7 linked regions of the Callithrix jacchus genome follow. The protein of the gene in region 3 binds, or shares a complex with, the protein of the main gene of each other region. Links are inferred from orthologs where the notes say so. Each region holds a gene or a part of one and is shown on either strand. Other genes may lie near its edges. The genes, in order: SNRNP200, ARMC7, RNF113A, DHX16, SF3B5, SNW1 and CDC40.

What was found.
Region 1: RNF113A (region 3) and SNRNP200 share a complex: the UniProt entries of both Homo sapiens proteins name them as parts of the minor spliceosome. The link is inferred for Callithrix jacchus from reciprocal best matches to the Homo sapiens genes RNF113A and SNRNP200.
Region 2: RNF113A (region 3) and ARMC7 share a complex: the UniProt entries of both Homo sapiens proteins name them as parts of the minor spliceosome. The link is inferred for Callithrix jacchus from reciprocal best matches to the Homo sapiens genes RNF113A and ARMC7.
Region 4: RNF113A (region 3) and DHX16 share a complex: the UniProt entries of both Homo sapiens proteins name them as parts of the minor spliceosome. The link is inferred for Callithrix jacchus from reciprocal best matches to the Homo sapiens genes RNF113A and DHX16.
Region 5: RNF113A (region 3) and SF3B5 share a complex: the UniProt entries of both Homo sapiens proteins name them as parts of the minor spliceosome. The link is inferred for Callithrix jacchus from reciprocal best matches to the Homo sapiens genes RNF113A and SF3B5.
Region 6: RNF113A (region 3) and SNW1 share a complex: the UniProt entries of both Homo sapiens proteins name them as parts of the minor spliceosome. The link is inferred for Callithrix jacchus from reciprocal best matches to the Homo sapiens genes RNF113A and SNW1.
Region 7: RNF113A (region 3) and CDC40 share a complex: the UniProt entries of both Homo sapiens proteins name them as parts of the pre-catalytic and catalytic spliceosome complex. The link is inferred for Callithrix jacchus from reciprocal best matches to the Homo sapiens genes RNF113A and CDC40.

The regions. Positions count from the first base shown.
Region 1 is NC_133515.1:6,128,603-6,132,102, reverse strand, and holds part of SNRNP200 (U5 small nuclear ribonucleoprotein 200 kDa helicase), read left to right. Parts: intron 1-70; coding exon 71-244; intron 245-1,513; coding exon 1,514-1,674; intron 1,675-2,222; coding exon 2,223-2,450; intron 2,451-2,795; coding exon 2,796-2,987; intron 2,988-3,086; coding exon 3,087-3,265; intron 3,266-3,447; coding exon 3,448-3,500. UniProt on the Homo sapiens protein: Catalyzes the ATP-dependent unwinding of U4/U6 RNA duplices, an essential step in the assembly of a catalytically active spliceosome. Plays a role in pre-mRNA splicing as a core component of precatalytic, catalytic and postcatalytic spliceosomal complexes.
Region 2 is NC_133506.1:131,032,995-131,037,288, forward strand, and holds the start of ARMC7 (armadillo repeat-containing protein 7), read left to right. Parts: upstream 1-1,494; 5' UTR 1,495-1,904; coding exon 1,905-1,995; intron 1,996-2,079; coding exon 2,080-2,223; intron 2,224-4,294. UniProt on the Homo sapiens protein: As a component of the minor spliceosome, involved in the splicing of U12-type introns in pre-mRNAs.
Region 3 is NC_133524.1:115,851,741-115,854,708, forward strand, and holds RNF113A (E3 ubiquitin-protein ligase RNF113A), read right to left. Parts: upstream 1,684-2,968; 5' UTR 1,583-1,683; coding exon 551-1,582; 3' UTR 501-550; downstream 1-500. Other genes in the region: NDUFA1 (NADH dehydrogenase [ubiquinone] 1 alpha subcomplex subunit 1), read left to right, coding at 1,881-1,982. UniProt on the Homo sapiens protein: Required for pre-mRNA splicing as component of the spliceosome. As a component of the minor spliceosome, involved in the splicing of U12-type introns in pre-mRNAs. E3 ubiquitin-protein ligase that catalyzes the transfer of ubiquitin onto target proteins.
Region 4 is NC_133505.1:35,454,728-35,458,227, reverse strand, and holds part of DHX16 (pre-mRNA-splicing factor ATP-dependent RNA helicase DHX16), read left to right. Parts: intron 1-1,591; coding exon 1,592-1,802; intron 1,803-1,999; coding exon 2,000-2,098; intron 2,099-2,209; coding exon 2,210-2,362; intron 2,363-3,500. UniProt on the Homo sapiens protein: Required for pre-mRNA splicing as a component of the spliceosome. Contributes to pre-mRNA splicing after spliceosome formation and prior to the first transesterification reaction.
Region 5 is NC_133505.1:150,851,934-150,854,377, reverse strand, and holds SF3B5 (splicing factor 3B subunit 5), read left to right. Parts: upstream 1-1,208; 5' UTR 1,209-1,328; coding exon 1,329-1,589; 3' UTR 1,590-1,944; downstream 1,945-2,444. Other genes in the region: uncharacterized protein LOC118153004, read right to left, coding at 1,110-1,208. UniProt on the Homo sapiens protein: Component of the 17S U2 SnRNP complex of the spliceosome, a large ribonucleoprotein complex that removes introns from transcribed pre-mRNAs.
Region 6 is NC_133509.1:112,693,042-112,696,541, reverse strand, and holds part of SNW1 (SNW domain-containing protein 1), read left to right. Parts: coding exon 1-78; intron 79-1,763; coding exon 1,764-1,868; intron 1,869-2,501; coding exon 2,502-2,571; intron 2,572-3,500. UniProt on the Homo sapiens protein: Involved in pre-mRNA splicing as component of the spliceosome. As a component of the minor spliceosome, involved in the splicing of U12-type introns in pre-mRNAs.
Region 7 is NC_133505.1:116,374,140-116,377,639, forward strand, and holds part of CDC40 (pre-mRNA-processing factor 17), read left to right. Parts: intron 1-1,039; coding exon 1,040-1,136; intron 1,137-2,418; coding exon 2,419-2,558; intron 2,559-3,357; coding exon 3,358-3,432; intron 3,433-3,500. UniProt on the Homo sapiens protein: Required for pre-mRNA splicing as component of the activated spliceosome. Plays an important role in embryonic brain development; this function does not require proline isomerization.

The sequences.
Region 1 (3,500 bases), on a different chromosome or scaffold from region 3:
TGGAGGGGATCTAGAGGCCACTTAGGTAAAGAGAACAGTGCTTACATCCTTCCTGTTTCTTTTCTGGCAGCTTGTGAGACGCAGCTGCCTGTCTCTTTCCGGCACTTGATCCTGCCAGAGAAGTACCCACCTCCAACTGAACTTTTGGACCTGCAGCCCTTGCCTGTATCTGCTCTGAGAAACAGTGCCTTTGAGAGTCTTTACCAAGATAAATTTCCTTTCTTCAATCCCATCCAGACCCAGGGTGAGTATTTCCATCCCTCCTCTGGAGGCTTTTGAAGTCATTGGGAGACAGATGTGTTCTGTGGCACGCAGGGGAGTGGGGATCCTCAGGCACTTGGTAGGGCTGCAGGCAACTCAGTGTGACCACTGGGGCCCACCAGGACTTTTTCCTTTGTCAGAAGCCCTTGGTTGCCTTGCTGCTCTGCATTTGTCACTATGGAGGGGCAGTAGAGTAAGGCCTTACATGGCATGGTCATTTCTTGGGCACAGGAGGCTTAGAGGCCTGCCCCTGATGCTCAAGTATTGAACCGGAACCATGGGGTGGCACTGAGGCCTCCTCCCTCGCATCATGATAAATAACGGGAACATTCATAGAGCAGGCGCTGTGTTCTCAGTTTTTAGCTGAGTTCATCACCAGTGTTTTCTCTTTTATTCCCCCCACCAAGCCTAAAGGGAGTCATTATTTGAGAGACCGCCATTAGTGTTCCATTTTGTGTGTGTGTGTGTGAGACGGAGTCTTCCTCTTTCCCAGGCTAGAGTATAGTGGCATGGTCTTGGCTCACTGCAACCTCCGCCTCCTGGGTTCAAGAAATTCTCCTGCCTCAGCCTCCCAAGTAGCTGGGATTGTAGGTGCCTACTGCCACGCCCAGCTAATTTATGTACTTTTAGTAGAGACGGGGTTTCACCATGTTGGCCAGGCTGGTCTCGAATTCCTGACCTCAGGTGATCCACCCGCCTCAGCCTCCTAAAGTGCTGGGATTACAGGCGCGAGCCACCGCACCTGGCTAGTGTTCCATTTTATAGATAAGGAACTGAGGCATAGAGGGTGCCCCAGTTGAGTCAACTGATAAATAGTAGAACTTGGATTTTTATCCAGTCTTGATGACAGGGCTAAGGCTCTTACTTTCTACATTAGGCTACTTCCAGGAAATGCAGGAGAGTATTGAAGGGGCAGAGAAAGGGATCCAGTTCCTTTCTGTCCCGCATCCTAGTCCCTGAGAAGCAAAGAAGGATATGTGGCTTCTTTTGCTTTGCTTTAGTTGTCATCCCATGTGTCTCCAGGGGTCCTGGGCTCTTGATCTTGGCCTCTTCCCCTTTACCTAAGTGGGAGCAGGTGAGGGGGATACAGCAGGCCAGCCTGGAGTTAGAGGCTCAGATGCAATTCCTCCTCTACACTCCACAGCTCACTGACTTCATTTCTTATGTTGTCCTTTGCTTTGACAAGTGGTCCATGTTCCAATCTGTCTCTTCTCTCTTGACACTCACACTGCTTCTTTCTGTTGGTTTCCAGTGTTTAACACTGTGTACAACAGTGATGACAACGTGTTTGTGGGGGCCCCCACGGGCAGCGGGAAGACCATTTGTGCAGAGTTTGCTATCCTGCGGATGCTGTTGCAGAGCTCGGAGGGGCGCTGTGTGTACATCACCCCCATGGAGGCCCTGGCAGAGCAGGTGCGATGTGGTGCTGTGTCATGTGAATTTACCCAGCAGCATTTTATCTGTGATTCTATGTAAAGGCTTTCTAAGCCCTGAAATTTGCAGGGTCATTTCCCAGTTTGTGTATTCAAGCCACCGTGGAGGCTCATCCCTGTAAGGGAGGTGGATTGCCTGAGGTCAGGAGTTTGAGACCAGCCTGGCCAAAATGGTAAAACCTCATCCCTACTAAAAATACAAAAATTAGCCAGGCATGGTGGTGGGTGCCTGTAATCTCATCTACTCAGGAGGCTGAGGCAGGAGAATCACTTGAACCCAGGAGGTGGAAGTTACAGTGAGCCAAGATCATACCACTGCACTCCAGCCTGGATAACAAGAGCGAGACTTCGTCTCAAGAAAAAAATAAAAAGCTGCTCCATCACATAAAGGCTTCTGTGGGATTAGAATGTAGCTTGAGATTTGCAGGTCAACAGGTCTCCCTGTTTGGCATCTCAGGTTTTCCTCACATAAGTGAAAGAGGCCTGGCATGACCTGATGTTGTTCTGTCTCACTCCTCTGCCTGCCAGGTGTACATGGACTGGTATGAGAAGTTCCAGGACAGGCTCAATAAGAAGGTGGTGCTCCTGACGGGAGAGACCAGCACAGACCTGAAGCTGCTGGGCAAAGGCAACATCATCATCAGCACCCCTGAGAAGTGGGACATACTTTCCCGGCGATGGAAGCAGCGGAAGAACGTGCAGAACATCAACCTCTTCGTGGTGGATGAGGTCCACCTTATCGGGGGCGAGAATGGGGTATGGTGTGACCTTGCAGTACAGATGACGGGCTAGGACTAAGTGATCTTGGCATTGGGCCTTAATGTTTGGGTCTGAGGACGGAGGTTCAGGACTTCTCCCCAGAGGATTCTGCCTGCCACCCTGTTCCAAAAGTACAATGTGAACTTTTTTGGTAGTACTTTAGGAAAACAGTATTGTTTAATGGAGGTTGGCTGCTGTGGAGGAGCTAGAACCAATGATAGGAGGGCTCTAATTAGAAGGAAGAATGAGGTCATTTTGAGGCTGTTAGGCTGTTCACAGAGGGGACCTCCAGGCAGAGAATGGGAGCCTCGGCCTACAGTGACCTTCCCTCCCTCTTTCCAGCCTGTCTTAGAAGTGATCTGCTCCCGAATGCGCTACATCTCCTCCCAGATTGAGCGGCCTATTCGCATTGTGGCACTCAGCTCTTCGCTCTCCAATGCCAAGGATGTGGCCCACTGGCTGGGCTGCAGTGCCACCTCCACCTTCAACTTCCACCCCAATGTGCGTCCCGTCCCCTTGGAGCTGCACATCCAGGTAGGACCTGCTCTCCTCTTCCCTCTGTGGGGGCTCACAAAGATCCTCAGTGACCCAGGTCTGATAACCTTGGTGTCTTTTCTTCTCCCTGGTCTCCAGGGCTTCAATATCAGCCATACACAAACCCGCCTGCTCTCCATGGCCAAGCCTGTGTACCATGCTATCACCAAGCACTCGCCCAAGAAACCTGTCATTGTCTTTGTACCGTCTCGCAAGCAGACCCGCCTCACTGCCATTGACATCCTTACCACGTGTGCGGCAGACATCCAACGACAGAGGTGGGCAGGGCCTAGCTTCTGGGGTTTGGGGTTAGGTTAAGTGAGGCTGGCTCACTCCAAGAGTGTCCTTTTTATGAGGGTGGGGTTAGCCCATGTGGCTTCGGGCCAGGGTATGCACAGCTGGCAAGGTGTCTGCCAGGAATTGGGCCACTGTGAGCTGAGCCAGTGCTCGTGCCACACAGGTTCTTGCACTGCACTGAGAAGGATCTGATTCCATACCTGGAGAAGCTGAGTG
Region 2 (4,294 bases), on a different chromosome or scaffold from region 3:
AGAAGGATTCATAACAAGGGTGACCAGTTCAAAGTTGGACAGGCAGTTGCTGGGCAGATGGCCGTGCAGAAGTGGTTTTGTGCAAGTTTGTGATGGCCTTTGTGCAACGTGGTGGTTTTTGCAGTCTTTGTGATAGTTTTATCAGATATTTATGCATGAGAACTCTCTCGTCCTGGATTTCTTGAACTCTGTCGGGATTTTGTTGGTTTTTTTCTTTTGTTTTGTTTTTTTGAGACGGGAGTTTGGCTCTTGTTACCCAGGCTGGAATGCAATGGCGCGATCTTGGCTCACCGCAACCTCCGCCTCCTGGGTTCAGGCAATTCTCCTGCCTCAGCCTCCTGAGTAGCTGGGATTACAGGCACGAGCCACCATGCCCAGCTAATTTTTTGTATTTTTAGTAGAGACGGGGTTTCACCATGTTGACCAGGATGGTCTCGATTTCTTGACTTCGTGATCCACCCGCCTCGGCCTCCCAAAGTGCAGGAATTACAGGCGTGAGCCACTGCTCCCGGCCTTGTTTGTTTTTTAACGCAAGTGACTCCACTTTTGTACTCTCAGGACATGCACAGCCTAAGCCACCTATACCACATTGTCAAACACGATCGGAGAGTGGCAAGGCCACCTCCTTCCCTGGTGCTTTGTTCCCTGTGACCACGAGTTAATGCAGCACACACCTGCTTCCTGAGAATCCCCGACAGGGAACCGGCCGAAGGGCTTCAGCATCCAGAAAGCCCTGAAAGGGCCACATCCAAGGCTCCTCCTCCGGCTCCCCGGTGCTTCCCCGGGCGCGCGCCGTCCACCCGACTGACGAAAAGCCCCAGGACATAAGCCAGTCCCCTTGATTTCTGTCCAGAGGTGGCGGACCCACCTCGGGCTGGGATGGAGGGCGTATCGGGGTCGCCAGGCTTTTTGCAAAAGGGGCAAAGGACCGATGGGGGGCACAGAGAGCTGACGCCCGCGCTCCGAAGGGCCGTCCGGGTCAAGGAGGCTGGGCCACGCCCCCGCCAGCCGTGGGGGTCCTGGAGGTGCTTCTCCCTCGACGTCCTGCCACATGGGTTCTGGCAGACTCCGCTGCTCCTCGCGGAAATCCAGCCGCCTGACGTGGGCGTCTTACCTTCTGGGCCACGTCGGGGCGGCTGAGGGCCCCGGGGAATGGGCGGGAGAGTGGGAAAGGTGGGGCGGGAAAGCCGAGCGAGGCCCTAACCCGCCCTCCTATCGGCCGGGGCAGCAAGTGGGTTTCTTTCTTGCGTTCAGATTTTGCAGTAATTTGCAGCTGGAAACGAGATAAGGGAAACCAGGCTGCTCCTCGCAGTAAACCCACCCACGCCCGCACCTGTCTCAGGGAATCCGCTAGCAGCGGGCTGCAGCCCAGGCTGAAGGGCTTCCGCATCCAGAAAAAACGTAACCGCGCGGAGTACGTGCGCCAAGGAGTTCGTCGACGGCCCCGCCCCTGTCCCGCCCTTTCCTCCTCGTGCCCGCTCCTTCCGCTATATTAAGGGCGGAGACAGCGCGGCTTCCGCTGGGAGCTCGGAACAGATCCCGGGATCCGGGATCCGGGATCCGGGATCCGGGACCCGGGATCCGGGATCCGGCACCCGGCACCCGGCACACGGCGCTGGTGCCCCCTCTGCAAGCCCCAACTCGTAGACTGTTCCTCGTCGCCCGCGCCCCAATTTCGATTTTCAAACCCAACTCCCACAGGATTCTGAGACCACGCCCCATCTCCCACGTCCCATTTTCAGCGGCAAATTACTGTAGAATCTGAACTCTAGAAAGAAACCCGTTTGCCGCCCCCCATCTTCCCTCTCCACACAGGTGGAGGGCAGGTGAAGGTCTCGCTCGGCTTTCCCCTGCACCTTTCCCACCCTCCCGTCCGTCCCTGGGGGTCCTCTGCCACACCGGCCATGGCCCAGAAGCCGAAGGTGGACCCTCACGTCGGGCGGCTGGGATTCCTGCAGGCGCTGGTCACGGAATTCCAGGAGACCCAGAGCCAAGGTGAGAGCCACGGTGGGGCCAGGGGGGCAGGGTCTGCTGTGACCGCCGCTCGGACCTGGCTCCAGTGCCGCTTTCCCGTTGCAGACGCCAAGGAGCAAGTCCTCGCCAACCTCGCCAACTTCGCTTATGACCCCAACAACTACGAGTATCTGCGGCAGCTGCAGGTCCTGGATTTATTTCTCGATTCGCTGTCGGAGGAGAATGAGACCCTCGTGGAGTTTGCTATTGGTAAGGGCGGGGTCGGTTCCCTAAAGGTCTAATGGGCCGGGGTGAGATAGGTGAGTTAGAAGTGAGTCGTTGGGGCCGGGCGTGGTGGCTCACGCCTGTAATCCCAGCACTTTGGGAGGCTGAGGCAAACGGATCACTTGAGCTGAGGAGTTTGAGACCAGCCTGGGCAACATGGCAAAATCCCGTCTCTACTAAAAATACAGAACTTAGCCGCTCACAGTTGTGTGCACCTATAGGCCCATGGAGACTGAAGCAGGAGGATTGCGTGAGTCTGGGAGGCAGAGGCCAAAGTGAGCTGAGATTGCTCCACTGCACTCTAACCTGGACAACAGAGCGAGACCATGTCTCAAAAAAAAGATGTTTTGTTTTGTTTTGAGACAGTTTCACTTTTTTTCCTCAGGCTGGAGTGCAATGGCAAGATCTCGGCTCACTGCAACCTCCGCCTCCCAGGTTCAAGTGATTCTCCTATCTCAGCCTCCTGAGTAGCTGGGATTACAGGTGCCCACTACCATGCCTGGCTAATTTTTGTATTTTTAGAAGAGATGAGGCTTTGAACTCCTGAGCTCAGGTGATCCACCTGCCTTGGTTTCCCAAAGTGCTGGGATTACAGGCATGAGCCACCATGCCCAGCCCAAAAAAAGATGTCTTAAAAAGAGCAATTTCAGCCACTGCACAGTGGCTCACACCTATCCTAGCACTTTGGGAGGCTGAGGCTGGAGGATCACCTGAGCTCAGGAGTTCAGTAGCCTGGCCAACATGGTGAAACCCTGTCTCTACTAAAAATACAAAAATTAGCTGGGCGTAGTGGCGTATCCTGTAATCCCAGCTACTTGGGAGGCTGAAAAAGGAGAATGCCTTGAACCCTGGAGGTGGAGGTTGCAGTGAGCTGAGATCATGCCATTGCACTCCAGCCTGCCCAATGGGAGCAAGACTCCATTTCAAAAAAATAAAATAAAAAATAAAAGCAATTTTTTGACCAGGCACAGTGGCTCACACCTGTAATCCCAGCACTTTGGGAAGCTGAGGTGGACAGATCACCTGAGGTCAGGAGTTTGAGACCAGCCTGGCCAACATGATGAAACCCTATAGGTAACTAAAAATACAAAAGTTAGCTGGGCATGGTGGCGGGCACCTGTAATCCCAGCTACTTGAGAGGCTGAGGCAGGAGAATCGCTTGAACCCAGTAGGTGGAGGTTGCAGTGAGCCCAGATGGCACCACTGCTCTCCAGCCTGGGCAACTACGAGACTCCATCTGGAAAAAAAAAACGGAAACAAAACCAAAAAAATCCCCAACAATTTCAGGCAGGAGAGGTGGCTCAAACCTGTAATCTCAGCACTCTGGGAGGCTGAAGCAGGCAGATAACTTGAGTCCCTGAGTTCAAGGCCAGCCTGGGCAACATGGCAAAATCCCGTCTCTGCTATTAAAAAAAATTACAAAAATTAGCCTGTCGGCCGGTTGTGGTGGCTCACACTTGTAATCACAGCACTTTGGGAGGCTGAGGCGGGCAGATCACGAGGTCGGAAGTTTGAGACCAGCCTGGCCAACACTGTGAAACCCCCATCTCTACTAAAAACACAAAAATTAGCTGGACATGGCGGGGGGCACCTGTAATCTCAGCTACTCTGGAGGCTGAGACAGGAGAATCACTTGAACCCCAGAGGTAGAGGTTGCAGTGAGCCAAGATCACACCATTGCACTCCAGCTCCAGCCTGGGCAACAAAAGTGAAACTCTGTCTCAAAGAAAAAAAATTAACCTGGCATGGTGTCACAGCTACTCAGGAGGCAGAGGTGGGAGGACTGCTTGAGCCTGGGAGCTTGAGGCTGCAGTGAGCTAGGATTGGGTCACTGCACTCTAGCCTGGGTGACAGAACAAGATCCTGTCTCAAAAATAAAAGTAACTCATATTTAGTGTTTTCATATCAAGAGAAGTAGAGATGGCAATCTGTAACTTATAGCTTCTGTAGTTGTGATCTTAAGACCTACTGAGTGATTCACTGGGCAATATTTATTGGGCACGTACTGTATAAGCAAGCTACTGTTCTAAATGCTGGGGTATGGTGAACAAGTTAG
Region 3 (2,968 bases):
ACATTTCAAGTGGTCAACAGCCACATGAGGCTAGTGTCTGTCTATCACACTGGATAGCAGAGCACAGATCACTTTTATCATCCATAGAAGGGGGGTTAACTATTGCTGCTTCCAAGACAGCAAGGAACATTTTCCATACGTGAAGTCTGTGGTACTAGCTACCAATCGCCCAAACCCAACCCCTCTCCCTCACACCTTGGCTCTGATATATTTTGTAGTACAGGCTCCTAAGAGAAAGAATGCATGAAAGTACCTGGTAAACATTACGTGATACAGAAATGTGATATAATAAACAGGCTCAGAGTTCTTGCTTTCATCATAGCTTTGGCTACTTCGAGCAAATTCTAGCTCTTTTCTCAAACTACTCCCATCTCTATAATTTATGCCAAAGTGTTCTAGGGCTAAAAATCCCGATTATACCTACCTTGAAGCTTTTAATCCAGGACCCTACTTCACCACCCGCCTTCTGTCACTTTCTCTAAAAGGACACGAATTAAGACTTCCAAAAGAACAAAATATTTATTTTTTAAATTTAAGAATTATGGGAAGCCTAAGTAATGGGAATTGGATCCTCATCGGGGTCTTCTGGGAAGTTGGAAGCACCACCCTCTCCTGTAGCACGATGCTTCTCTAGTTTAGCAATCAATTCTTTCGCTGGATTGAAGACGCCGTAGGTCTGCTGGTCACAGACAAAGCAGCGCGGGGTGGTACGGAAATGCTGCAGTGCACATCTCTCGCAGAAATAATGCCTGCACTTGGTGACAACTGGGTTTTGGAAGCTCTGGCGACAGATGAAACATTTGAATGGTATTTCCTCATCATCGCTTCCCACTTCATAGTTTTCATCCTCATAGACACCATAGCGACCCTCATCAAGCTCACGTTCGATCTGCCACCCATGCTTGTAATCTGAACGGTCATGGAGGAATTTGCAGCTGTCTCCGAAGCCGCAGAAGCCAGTCTCTTTGTAGTCCTTACAGATGTCGGGCTGGTAATCCCAGCGCACGGTGGCACGTAGATGCTCGGGCGCTCGGATGGGGCCCTTCCTCACCATCCCGGAAGAGGCATTGCCCATAGACGTATCCTTGGGCTTCATGTATTTCTGATAATTGTTGATTCCCCGATAGATCTTGTCATCCTCCTTGCCCCTCAGCTCCTCCTGGATCTTCTGGCTGCGCTCAAAGATGGCTTGTGCATCGCGCTCTTTCTCTGTGTCCAGCTCATAGACGGCTGTTGCCCCCATATCCTCTGGTCCCACGGGTTTCGCCGAGCGGGTGGATTTATAAACCACGCCGAGACTCTCGGGCTCATTTTCCACCTCCTCCTCGCTGCTCAAGTTGCCGTAAGCCGCCTTCTGTCTACCACTGTCACGGGTCTTCTGTATCATTGGATTGTGGGTCGTCCGCTTCTTTTCCGGTCGAATCACAGTGCAGCCTTCGTCGCTACTGCTGCTGCTTTCTCCAGGCTCTGGGTCGCAGGCCGGGCGCTTTCTGCGTCCAGCAGCCCCTTTCCGCCCAGGCTTTTTGAAAAGGAAGGTGCACACCTGATCCGCCGTTTTTCCTGGAGAAAGCTGCTCGGCCATTTTAGAGTCCCGAGCTCCGAAACGGCCGTGGCTGCCTGGGTAGCACTTGGCCTCCGCGCGTCACTCCACGTTGCGCGCTCCGCCGCTAGTCAAAGCAAAAGACTGTGGCGGAAGAAGACTGCGAGAACGCGAACGCTAGCCTCTCTTGAGCCCTGGAGGATTCCGTCGCTTCCTCCGGAGCCGTACGTGGCACCGCCCCGCTCGCTGGCGGCCGCGGGGCTTACTGGGAAGAGAGCCGGAGATCCGTCACCTTTCAAGGACTCAGAAGTAGGGTTTTGGTCTAGGTAACCGGGCAGAGATGTGGTTCGAGATACTCCCCGGACTCGCCGCCATGGGCGTGTGCTTGCTTATTCCAGGACTGTCTACTGCGTACATCCACAAGTTCACTAACGGCGGCAAGGTAAGGGGGCTTGAGGGCGCGGGGGCCGACTCCACGGGCTGATTTCCGAAAAGGGTGGGGGGCAGGGAGGCATCAGCTTGCGGACCCTCTCTCCGAGGTCGGCCTTCTCCTTTCTTAGGGTTGCCTAGAAGCTGAGGCTTGCGAAACGAAGGTTGGTAGAAAACACATCCTGCTCTAGTGAAAACCAGCGTTTTAGGGTGGATCAGAGTGGGCCTTAGGGCAGAGTAGCGACTCGGGGCCCGGAAAGGTAGATTAGAAGAGGTGGCTTAAGTCTGTAATCCAGCACTTTGCGAGGCCGAGGCGGGCGGATTACCTGAAGTCGGGAGATCAAGACCAGCCTGACCAACATGGTGAAACCCCGTCTCTACTAAAAATACAAAATCAGCCGGGTGTGGTGGCGCATGCCTGTAATCCTAGTTATTTGGGAGGCTGAGGCAGGAGAATTGCTTGAACCCGGGAGGTGGAGGTGGAGGTGAGCCGAGATCGCACCATTGCACTCCAGCCTGGGCAACAGTCACGAAACTCGTTTCGAAAAAAAAAAACCAGAGGTTCTCCTGCCTCAGCCTCCCGAGTAGCTGGGACTACAGGCGGGTGCCACCACGCCCGGCTAATTTTTATTTTTGTTTGTATTTTTAGTAGAGACGGGGTTTCATCATGTTGGCGAGGCTGGTCTCGAACTCCTGACCTCAGGTGATCCACCCATCATGACCTCCCAAAGTGCTGGGATTACAGATGTGAGCTCCTGGCCACCCATAACTTTTTTATTCTCCACTTTTTGTTGCAAGCCTTTAATAATTTACTGCAAGATCTTATTTTATTTTTATTATTTTATCTTTTTGTAGAGATGGGGTTTCTCCATGTTGGTCAGGCTGGTCTTGAACTCCTGACATCAGGGGATCTGCCTGCCTTGGCCTCCCAAAGTGCTGGGATTACAGGCAGGAGCTACCGTGCCCGGCCAAGATCTAGTTTTTTACATTGGGATTCAT
Region 4 (3,500 bases), on a different chromosome or scaffold from region 3:
GCTTTCCCGGATCTCTAATCTCTGGCCTTTCTCTCCTTTCCCACCTAGCCAATCAGCCATTGTCTTCTGATTAATCCACCAGTTCTTGAACCTTTATGGTTCAAATGGTCCTTGAACTGACCTCCAGATACCATGGAGATGGGGCTGTAGGATAGAAGAGATTGTAGAGAAACCTCTTTTTCCGTCCCTACTCATCTCCAAGGTTTAGAAAACAATCAGAATAGAGGAGCATTGCTGCAGAGACTAAAATGCTGTGCGAAGAACATTTGAAAACACTTGGGTTGCTCAACTCAGAGGGAGAAACAGGGGAAGCATCCTGGTTCTTCTAAATATGTGAAAGCTGTTACATGGAAGAAAGGATCAGACTTGTTTTATGTGACCCTACAGGACATAGCTAGGAACCATGGGGAGGTTACAGGGAGACAGATTCCAGCTCCATACCAAAATGGCTGAGTCACCCTCAGATTGCAGGGCTTGTCAGAGTGGTTGGACCCTGGGGCTTGGTCCTCCACACAAGTCTTGGGTAGCTTGGTCTGTGAATAATGAGCTCTTAGTGCTGGAAATGGCCAACCAGGGGTTGGTTTAGCATGTGTTGAGGGGGAAAAGGGATTCATGAATGAGATTGGGGGTGGGATCAGGCCAGCTGAACAATATGTGCCTTTTCAACTCTTCAGAGGCTGTGAATTTCTGGCCCTGGAAGATCACAGTGGAGCAATTGGACAGATAGAACTTGATACTTCATATCCCTTGCAAAAAATCTCTGAGAACCCATGGAGAGCCAGCCAGTGCAAGAGTGTCTGATGCAGATGTTTTTGCCCATCGAGCCAGTGTGCTTTGTGGAATGGCTGGGGACTTTACCATCACAGTTAGGGTTAGGCACAGAGTTGAGGTTGGGAAGGTGGGTAGGGGAAGATGGGAATGAGTCCCTGGGATTTGGCTGCCACCCAGAAAAGCCAAAGAATAAAGCAAAGAGAAAGAAGGTGTCATGTACCTAACTGAGTTGGGGGAAACCAAGGGATGTGCAGAGTCCTCTGAGAGTTGGGGTTGAAAGGCTTAACTTGTTCCTCTTTCCTAAAGAAGAAACAGAGCCAGGAAGGATGCCAGAGGCAGTTGTTCCACAGGAAACCAGGAGCTTCTGGGCTGTCTGAATCACAGCAGCTCTGGTCTATTATCCCCAGCCAGCCTTGGTGGCCTCCTCTTACTGAAGGGGACCCTGCCCTCCACTTTTTTTTTTTTTTTCCTTTAAAACATATCCTTCCACTTTTTCTAGTAAGAGCTGCTGAGTCTAAGCAGACCCTTGACTGAACTAGAGGGCATGTCTGACTTGTCCTGGGTCAGTGTGCAGCCTCTACATCTTGGCTCCTATTGTCTGCTGAGGCTGGAATAGATTGCAGATCACGGGGCTGTGCCTTCTCTGACTTTCTGTTGGTCTTACGTAACTGGGATGGTGGCGTCTCCTTAGAGCCCCCTCCCTCAACAGTCATTCTTGAGCTCTTTGTGTCCATTACTCCCCTCTCATCCAGGGAACCCTGGTGTCTGATAACGCATAACCCAGCGCTCCTCCCTCATTGCTCCCCTATTACCTCTTCAGCGTGGTGATGGTGGATGAGGCACACGAACGGACCCTACACACAGACATTCTCTTTGGATTGATCAAGGATGTTGCTCGCTTCCGACCTGAGCTCAAGGTCCTGGTGGCTTCAGCCACGTTGGACACTGCCCGTTTCTCCACCTTCTTTGATGACGCCCCTGTGTTTCGAATCCCTGGACGCAGGTTTCCTGTGGACATCTTCTATACCAAGGTGCCCCCTCAGGAAGGATGGGCTTAAGTGTGTAGCGGAAAAGCTGGGGACTTTGGAGGAGGTTATCCCAAGGAGGGAAAGATGGAATGGAAAGTCCAAAGGGGAACTAGGATGAAGTGTATGTTGAGTTGGGAGGAGAGGAACGATTTGCCTAAGCAGGTGGCCCTCCTGTGACCCCATCTCTTTCTGCTCTCCAGGCTCCAGAGGCTGACTACTTGGAAGCTTGTGTCGTATCTGTGTTGCAGATCCATGTGACCCAGCCCCCTGGGGATATCCTGGTGTTCCTGACAGGACAGGTGCCTGATATGGTTGGGAGAGGGGGTAATGTATCCCAGGGGAGGACTAGGCTGGCATGTTGGTCTTCTGTGACCCTGGGACCCTTGCTGCTCTCCCCACTCTCTATCCAGGAAGAGATTGAGGCTGCCTGTGAGATGCTCCAGGATCGCTGCCGCCGCCTGGGCTCCAAAATCCGGGAGCTCCTGGTGCTGCCCATTTATGCCAACCTGCCCTCCGACATGCAGGCCCGTATCTTCCAGCCCACACCACCTGGGGCACGAAAGGTCAGTTGGAGAAACCCACACTCTTCACACCTATGCTTCACACAACAGTAGTGAAAAAGGTGTGTGCCTGCCCCATGCAAGGGGAGTCCTGGGCACTGCTGCAGACATAGCTGAGGAGCCATTCTCTCACCCCTGGGGCTGAAGAGAGAGGAGAAATACCGTATGAACCAAGAGAGAGCCAAATACGTGATCTGCAAAGTAAGCACAGTAGATTCAGTGGAGATAGGAAGTCCTTGATGGGCCAGGAGGTGGGATTTGATATGGACCTTTAAGAGAAATGGCTGAGGTTGGGTGCAGTAGCTCACGTCTGTAATCCCAGCACTTTGGGAGGCCAAGGCAGGTGGATCACTTGAGGTCAGTAGTTCTAAACCAGCCTTGCCAACATGGTGAAACCCTGTCTCAACTAAAAATACAAAAATTAGCCAGGCATGGTAGAGGGTGCCTGTAATCCCAGCTACTTGGGAGGCTGAGGCAGGAGAATCGCTTGAGCCTGGGAGGCGGAGGTTGCAGTGAGCTGAGATTGTGCCTCTGCGTTCCAGCCTGGGCGATAGAGTGAGACTCTGTCTCAAAAAAGAAAAATGGCTGAGAAGTTATCAGTGGAAGGCCCAAGGTGCGTCTGAGGTGAGAACGTCAGCTAGTAGGCTTAGTGGGAGGTTCATGCGGTACAGGAGTAGGAGATAAGGCTAAAAACAATTTGGGGCTAAGATTAGGGAGGGCCTTTGATGACAGGAGAGCTTGGACTTATTTATTTATTGTTTATAGACAGAGTCTTGCTCTGTCACCCAGTCTGGAGTGCAGTGGCAAGATCTTGGCTCACTGCAGCCTCTGCCTCCCAGGCTCAAGTGATTCTTGTGCCTCAGCCTCCCAAGTAGCTGGGATTACAGGTGCGTACCACCACATCCAGCTAATACTTTTTTTTTTTTTTTTGAGATGGAGTCTGGCTCTATCGCCCAGGCTGGAGTGCAATGACATGACCTCTGCTCACTGCAACCTCTGTCTCCCAGGTTCAAGCAATTCTCCTGCCTCAGTATCCCAAGTAGCTGGGATTACAGGTACATGCCACCATGCCCTGCTCATTTTTTGTATTTTTTGGAGAGATGGGGTTTTGCCAGGTTGGCCTGGCTGGTCTTAAACTCCT
Region 5 (2,444 bases), on a different chromosome or scaffold from region 3:
TATTAAACTAAAAATTAGGATATAAAGCAATAATAAGGAAGAGATGGATAATCTGCAAAGAGGAAGAAGAATTTACATCTGTCTGGAGCAGCCAGAGAAAATTCTAGGGAGATGCATTTGAGCTGCCTTTAAGGCAGATGCGTTCACCAAGGGAACAGACATTCCAAGTAGAGGGAACAGCTTGCACAAGGAACTGGGGAATGGGCACAACAGGTAACATGGAGAAGTACAGTTGTCCCTCAGTATCTGTGAGTGATTGGTTCCAGGACTCCATGGATACCAAAACTAGAAGATACTCAAGTCCCTGATATAAAATGGCTTGTATTTGCATATACACACATCCTCCCGTATAGTTTTTCTCTAGATTATTTAACAATACCCAATACAATGTAAATACTATGTAAATGGTTGTTATATTGTTTAGGGTATAATAACCTTTAAAAGTCTACACTTCGGTACACACTAATTTTTTTCCCAAATATTTTCAGTCGGGTTGGTTGAATTCACAAAACCCACTGAATGGAAGGGCCAAGTAGGGTGCCGTGAGGCATTGGAGGGAGGATATCAAAATAACTGGCTAGAGAGGAAGGAGGAACTTGAGGTGGAGCCGGAATGTGAGGAAATGGGTACTGTACTTGCTCACCAAACACCCTGGTTAGAGCTGAAATAACTCTTTGATGCTACAAACTCCTAAGCGACATAGTTGGGACCAGAACTCGCGCCTACTGACTTCTGGGTAATCCATCCCGGGTAGTGAAGGGACTGCCGTGCCGCCACGATAGGTCCGAAATACATAAGAGTTTATTTTCGGGGTTGCTCGTAGTCCACTCCTATTTGGGTTTCCCATTTCCCATCAGCCCCAAGCCAACCACGGATGCTTCCCGCCTCGCAGACAACACCCTCCACTAGGCACCCATACCGCTTTTAAAAGGCGACCAGAAGTTCCGGAGGCTGGCGTGCACGAACTCCAAAGACCAAGACCACAAGTCCCAGCATGCAACGCTCCCGGTTGAAAAGGGCCTCTCATAGCCACTAAGCGGACCATCATGCAACGCTCTATGAAGGGGCACGGCTCACTACAGGGGCGGCACACTTGTAGCGTCGCATACCTCGGCAACTCCAATTCCGTGACTGATGTGCTTCCGCTTCCGCTTCCGCCTCTGAGCCCTATGAGCGAGAGTTACACTACTTAGTCTCAGTGACGCCATTCTTCTGCGACCGCGTGGGCCCGGAGGTGCTGTGCGGTGTCCTCACTCCCGCTTGAAACGGTAGAGCGGTGACTTGTTTCCTGCGGCCTCTGACCTCGGAGCGAAGGGGAAAGCGGCGAGATGACGGACCGCTACACCATCCACAGCCAGCTGGAGCACTTGCAGTCCAAGTACATCGGCACGGGCCACGCCGACACCACCAAGTGGGAGTGGCTGGTGAACCAACACCGCGACTCGTACTGCTCCTACATGGGCCACTTCGACCTTCTCAACTACTTCGCCATTGCGGAGAATGAGAGCAAAGCGCGAGTCCGCTTCAACTTGATGGAGAAGATGCTGCAGCCTTGTGGACCGCCAGCCGACAAGCCCGAGGAGAACTGAGACTGCCTTACCAACGCCGTGCGCGGCGCCTCTCCCAGCGTTCCTCCCGTTTGCCAAATCCCTCGAGTATTCCTGCCTTCAAGGGACCGGCTCTCTCCATGGCTCCTGCGTCCCGCGCTTTCTGCGTATAGAAGTGCTTGCCGGGGAAGTCCCTCCTGACCCGCCTTCATGTGGACACTTTGGGACAGCATTGAGAGACCAGCAGGACCCCTGAGAACTGTGCTGGCGGAGAGGTCCTGCAGCCGGCAAGTCTCTGAGAAGAGGGCGTGGCGCTGGAGTGAGATGGGATTTGGCGTCTCGTTTTTGCCTAATTGATTGTCATTGGCTTTTTCCATAAAGTTTAGAAATCGTTCAGTCTCTTGGTGTGAACTTCCTGTGTTAGGGTGGAGGGCTCCGGAAAGAGCTCCAGGCACCGAGGTTCGCGAGAGTCCGAGTGGGAAATGGGTTTGGGTGAGGGTGCGAATGCCAGTGTCTGTGGCCAGGCACTTAGATATGCCTGTATACCTTTATAGTGTTCCCCGACTGCCACTTCCTCCAAGAGCTTTATTTTCAGTCTCACAATGACTTCAGTTTTGAAGTTTGCGGTTAATGTATCCCATCTTTTTCTTCTGTTTTAAAAATCTTTGCTGTCATTGTTTTCCCTAGCCTCTTTAAATTACATCCTTTCTTTTTCCTGGGAATTTGAAACCATGTCTCCAGAAATGACAAGATGGCAAGCGAGTTCATCCATTCTACATTCAACAAATATTTGTTGAGCTCTATGTGACAGGCATTTTCCCATGTTCTTGGGTATACATTAATGCTGGTGGTGGAGAAAGGTCAAACACTGTAGGCATAGCAAGCAAATGTTAGAAG
Region 6 (3,500 bases), on a different chromosome or scaffold from region 3:
AAAATCTGTATCACAGAAGGTTGCTGCAGCCATGCCAGTTCGGGCAGCTGACAAACTGGCTCCTGCTCAGTATATCCGGTATGAGTCTTGCCAAGAAGACTTAGTTTCATTTTGGACTTGATTCAGCTTGGGGAGTCACTAACCCACTTAGCAACTATTATAATGCATTGTTTTGAATAATGACTTGAAGCCTGTCTACTCTCTTTACAGACAATTGAAAGCAGAATTTTTGTTGTCCACTTTGGTTTTTGTTTGTTTATTTGAGATAAGTACTCTGTTGCCCAGGCTGGAGTGCAGTGACACCCTCACGGCTTACTGCAGCCTGACCTCCTGGGCTCAAGTGCTCCTCCCGCCTTGATGCCACCGTACCTGGCTAATATTTTAATGTTTTGTAGAGACAAGGTCTCACCTTGATGCTCAGGCTGTTCTCGAACTCCTGGACCCAAGCGATCCTCCTGCCTTGTTATCCCAAAGTGCTAAGATTACAGATGTGAGCCACCACACTTGGCCTCTTTTTATGCCTTTTTTTTTTTTGGAGACAGAGTCTTGCTCTGTTACCCTGTTGCCCAGGCTGGAGTACAATAGTGTGATCTTCTTGGCTCACTGCAATCTCTGCCTCCCAAGAGCTTCTTCTGCCTCAGCCTCCCGAGTAGCTAGGATTACAGGTGCCCGCCATCATGCCCAGCTAATTTTTGTATTTTTAGTAGAGATAGTTTCACTGTGTTGGCCAGGCTGATCTCAAACTCCTGACCTCAAATGGTCCACCCTCTTCAGCCTCCCAAAATTCTGGGATTACAGGCGTGAGCCACCATGCCCGCCTATGCTATATTTCTGTTTTTCTTTTTCTTTCTTTTTTTTTGAGACAGAGTCTCTCTCTGTCACCCAAGCTGGAGTGCAGTGGCATGGTCTTGGTTCACTGCAACCTCTGCCTCCTGGGTTCAAGTGATTCTCCTGCCTCAGTCTTCCAAGTGGCTGTGATTGCAGGCATGTACCACCATGCTCAGCTAATTTTTGTATTTTTAGTGGAGACGGTTTTTACCATTTTAGCCAGGCTGGTCTCAAATTCCCGACCTCAGATGATCCGCCCACTTCAGCCTCCCAAAGTACTGGGATTACAGGCATGAGCCAACTGGCCCAGCCCTATGCTATTTTCAAAATATATTTTTTGTTCTTAGAAATTAACAGTCACTTGTAGTATATGACCTAAATCACAATTATTATTTATAGTTTTCCATTTATGGGTAATAGATATCTTTATAATACTTCTAAATTTTGAGGCATTTCACTTGACTGAATATTTGCATAGATAGATGAATCACATACAGATATTAAGGGAAAATTCAGAGCTCGTAGGGCTGCTGTTATTATTATTCTTTTCTCTGTTTTTTAACCTATGATTAATCAAAAACTGCTAACTGTAAGTTGCCTGCTGGGATTATTATGAGTGTTTTTACCCCAGATGCAGGCATACCAAATAGATACTGTTTCCTAAACTGCTTATCTGTGAAACTGAATACTGCATCTTCGATGTTGGAAAATGTATGAGGAGGGGTTATCTGCACACTAATACCACTCAAATTTGTATTTTGTCTGTAACTCATAATTTCTGTTATTTTATCTCTCTTGCTGTCTGCTTTGTCTAAATATTTTGTTAATTTTCTATTAATACTTTGCGAAAGGAATTGAAAATGTTGTAACAGAAGGAAAATGCCTTCCGAAAGCTTGAACTAGTTACACCTTTAGTTTTTATCTGCTTTCTTCAGATACACACCATCTCAGCAAGGAGTGGCTTTCAACTCTGGAGCTAAACAGAGGGTTATTCGGATGGTAGAAATGCAAAAAGATCCAATGGAGCCTCCAAGATTCAAGTAAGTAAAAAGGAGGAGGCTACTAATACACATAAAAACATGGATGAATCTCAAAACAATTATGCTGAGTGAAGGAAGCCAGGCAAAAACAAGTACCTCCAATATGATTTCATTTATGTAAAACTCTAGGAAATGCAAACTAACCTGTAGTGATGAAAGATCAGTGATTGCCTCTGGGGAAGGAGGTAGGGACAAAGAGGAGATGGGAGGGAGGAGAGGAATAGGCAAGGGGCAAGCAGAAACTTCTGGGGATGACAGGTATGTTCACTGTCTTGATTGTGATGATGATTTCACAGGTGCTTATTTGTGTCAAAATCTAATCAAATTGTATACTTTAAATGTGTACAGTTAATTAAATGTCAATTATCTCAATAAAGGTGCTTTTTAAAATGAAAAAAGTTATATTACTCTGCAAAATGACAATAATGTTGGGAGGTAGGGTAACAATGATGACAAAGTTGGCGTATTTTATTCATTGTCATAGTGGAGTGGTAAGTGCGTATCATTATACAGTCTCTGTTTTTGTCTATGTTTGAAACTTTTATGCAAGAAAAAAGGAGGGGAGACTTGATGTGATGACTAAAAGGGAGGAAACTGTATCACTCTCTGGTTGTGTTTTGATTTATACTTCAGGATTAATAAGAAAATTCCCCGGGGACCACCTTCTCCTCCTGCACCTGTCATGCATTCTCCTAGCCGAAAGGTATTCTTTATTATAGTCTAAAATCTTTTTTTCTACTCATGATTATTAATTTTATAGATAATTTCCCTATACCTATACAGGTACATGTCACCACATGACTTGTAGTTTCTTTTTTTATTTTATAAGATGAAGTATCAAGAATGCTTATGAGAATTTATATAACATGTTAGCTATAAGTTTTGTTATTAGTAACCCAAATCCTACTTTTAATGGAATGGATAGGGTCTGCTGTTTCACTTACAAAGATGTTACAGGAAGTGAATATATCGATTCCATTAGTTCTCTAATAATTCGACTTTCAAGATATGTTTTGTTGCTCCAAAGAACAGTTTTTTATCCAAAAGAAGTCACATTGGCTGGGCACAGTGGCTCACGCCTGTAATCCCAGCACTTTGGGAGGCAGAGGCAGGTGGATTATCTGAGGTTGGGAATTCGAGACCAGCCTGACCAACATGGAGAAACCCTGTCTCTACTGAAAAACACACACACACACACACACACACAAATTAGCCAGGTGTGGTGGCATATGCCTGTAATCTCAGCTACTGGGGAGGCTGAGGCAGGAGAATCATTGGAACCCGGGAGACAGAGGTTGCAATGAGCCAGGATCACACCGACGTACTCCAGCCCGGGCAACAAAAATGTAATTGCATCTCAAAAAAAAAAAAAAAAGTCATGGAAAAATACTAGCCACCATTTATAACTGTCAAAAATAATTTCTAGATTATTTTCCATTTTTCACAGTACTTCAAAGTTATTAATAGAATTAATGATACAATAAACTAGTATTAGCAAACAAATGGATTGTTGGCCTTTCACTGTGTATGTGCATATGTCAGTGTATATGGAGCTGTCTTTGACGATAAAGATTATACTTAGATTACTTTGTAGACTATAAATCTAACCCTGTCTCTTCTTTCTCTCTTAAC
Region 7 (3,500 bases), on a different chromosome or scaffold from region 3:
GTAAATGCTCTGCCCTTCCCTTCCTCACCTCCTCACTGTCTCTATGAGCCAGAGAGTGTTCTAGTCCCAGGCCTACAGCATTGAACAAGATCAAGAAAATCCTTTCCTTATGAAGCTTATATTCTAGCTGTTACTTATATAGTAAATCTATATTTATAACGATAGGAGTAAACAGGTGACATCTAAGATGAGTAAATGTATGCTACTGTTTTTTATTTATTTTAGATTTTATCTGTTGATTTCTTTGTTTTTATGGATACAGATTTACTGCTACCCCATCTTCTGTCCCCAGCTCCTTAAAAAAGTTGTGTCACAGAGGTGTAGTCATCACTTACATCCTAGGACTGGGTAAAAATCATTAACTGAAAAACAACATCTTGTGCTAAAATTCAGTGTCCATTCTGGAACTAGATTTTCTGATTGCCTTGTCTTTTTACTTGCATAACTAGTATAACATGTTAAAATTTATTTCCAGGTGTCACAGAAGGATGAGTTTTGAAAACTGATTTTATATAGTCGAAAAGTATTTTCTAGTATCCGTTATGTATTTAGTACCATTTTGTAATTTGTAGAAAAGGTACTCAATCTCTGCGTATAGAAGAGTCGAGCTTGGCCTGGCGTGGTGGCTCAATGCTCGTAATCCTAGCACTTTGGGAGGCCGAGGTGGGCAGATTGCCAGAGCTCAAGAGTTCAAGACCAGCCTGGGCAACACAGTGAAACCCTGTCTCTGCTAAAATAGAAAAAATTAGCCGGGCACGGTGGTGCATGCTTTGTAGTCCCAGCTACTCGGGAGGCTGAGGTAGGAGAATCACTTGAACCCAGAAGAGGGAGGTTGCAGTGAGCCAAGACTCACACCAGTGCACTCCAGCCTGGGTGACAAAGCAAGACTCCATCTCAGAAAAAAAGGAGTTGAGCTTGTTATTCTGGGAACATACTTGGACCAAATTTGTAGACCTCATTATAAAGAATTTATAACCATCTTTAGGCATAATGAGGTTCTAAAACATTCATTTTAAATTTTACTCCTTAATTTTCTTAGGAAGAACAAAAAGAATTGGATGAAATCACAGCAAAGAGGCAGAAAAAAGGAAAACAGGAAGAAGAGAAACCTGGGGAGGAGAAGACAATCTTACATGGTATTACATTTTTTATACATCTTCATTTTTATGAAAAAGCTCCTTACTATCAGCTGTTAAAAAAATCATTATGTTGAGCGTAATTGTGTTGGACAATTTGTATCCCAGGGAAATTATAGCAGACTTCTGTATACTGATAAAGGAGAAAAAAATAGCATGATTAATGATAGCCACAGATAATTTTTTTTCAAGTGTCAATGAATGTTATTAAATGATAGATAAAAAAGAAACTTGGAATAGTCTACGGTCTATTCTTTCATAAGATAAAGTTGACTCTTTTGGTATATTAATAGTGCCCCAGTCGTTTTAATTGTTTTTAACAAAGTCAAATACTCAGGTATCCTCACAGTTCATAACCGTTTACTAAACTATACTCAGAAAGAATAAACTTGGATTTTCATGTGAAAAGATGGAGATTAAGCCTCTCATACTTATTTTGACTTGTAGAAGGAAATGCGTAAGTATTCTAGAACATACCTGTTCATTAATAATTAGTTATATTTAGGAAATTACATAATGATTATCTAAAACTGTAAAGAATAACTTAGTACTTATAGTGTTGCTTATTCTAATGTTACTATTACATCAGATATTTAGGTTTGATGAAGCCATATTTGGTTTTTCAAGCTTCCATTTTATGTCTAAGGAGTCTATTCAGTATTATGGTACTTACAACTATAATAACAACAATATAAAAATAACATTTATTGAGTACTTACTCTGTGCCAGCCATGCTGCTAATTACTTTATATATACTATGTCATGTAATTCCCATAGGTGACTTTATTGTAAAATTTGTGATGAAAGCAGGAAAAGATAGATGAAAAGGAACTGGAAGGGCATAAAGAGGAAAGCAGGGGAAAAGGATAGTTGATTTTTTTTGTTGTTTGTTTTAAATTTCTTCTTAACCTGTTTTACTTCTGCTTCTTTACCAATGACTGACAAGGCCCCAGTATTGTCTTTTCTTCCTTTGCTATAATTATGCTACAGTGAAGATAAGTCACTAAGATGTGTAACTGATGAAAAGAAGTATAGATCTTATCTCAAGGTCTATAATCTCTGGGTATTTAGGAATTTCAAAATACTACCTCTAGTTGTAAATGATAGCAGTTATTTAAAGCACTTAAATCTTAGCTGACTCTTGATCTTGACATCATTGGAGTGTTATTACTTAACCTTAATACAAAATGCTATTCCTGTGAATAAAATATTATTTTAAGATAGAGATTTCATGACTGTAGCTTGTATTTGTTTATCGATTTTCTTTGCCTTTTTGTTTCAGTTAAAGAAATGTATGACTATCAGGGCAGATCCTATCTTCACATACCTCAGGACGTTGGTGTTAATCTGCGGTCAACTATGCCGCCTGAGAAGTGTTATCTTCCCAAAAAACAAATTCATGTGTGGTCTGGACACACAAAAGTAAGCAAGTTGGTGTGTGTGTTTGCTGTAATGTTATAATAATGAAGCCAAGGTAAAGTTTCAGCTATTGATGTGGAACATTTAGTATTTCTGGTAAATGTGTAGGGAAATTAATTTGAATGTAAGCTGCATTCTAGGCTTTGGAGGTGCCCACACATCCATTACAAGTGACTAATCAGTCTTCAAGGCCATAGCATGCATGGTTCAGTGCCCTGTATCCTTGCAGCCCAGGCCTTTCCCCACAAGCTCCTGCTACAGTCTTCCTTTTGGGCACCAAATCAGTGAGTAATGGGCTAGTATTAGCACCAAGTCTCCTGCTTAGCTTCAGTAATTTTGCTTTAGCTCTTGTGGTTATCACACTTCAGAGATTAGATGTGCCCTGGTTTATAAACTATGGTAATTTTTAAACTAATGCAGAGACAAGGTACATGAAAAGTTTTGATGTTGGTATTCTTCATCATCTGCACTATTCCAACTGGTAATTTCCAACTCTTTGCAAAGAGCAAAGGGACTAAGTTAAAAAAGGAAAACAAGTCAGGGCATTAGCAATTTGATTGACTCAGGATTCCTTTGGGTGAGGAACTCAATATTAAAGGTTAAAAAAAAAAAAAATCTTCAAAAGCTTAGCGTCAATAAGGCCTGCTCTTGGAATGCTAATGAAGGTTATTCTAAGTTGTGATTTTTGGAATGAAGACAAATAGCAAATTAAGCTGCTTAATATCTACTGTCTTCTCTTGATGCTTAATTTTAGCTGCTCTTTAGAATGCTTCTGGTTGATAACTTTAATACCTTTTTACAGGGCGTCAGTGCAGTCAGATTGTTTCCTCTCTCTGGCCATTTATTGCTGTCTTGTTCCATGGACTGTAAAATTAAGGTGAGTTTTCAGTAACAGAGTGGGAGTGCTGCAAAGCTAGTTCTTTGGTTAAATCTGTTTGGTTAATT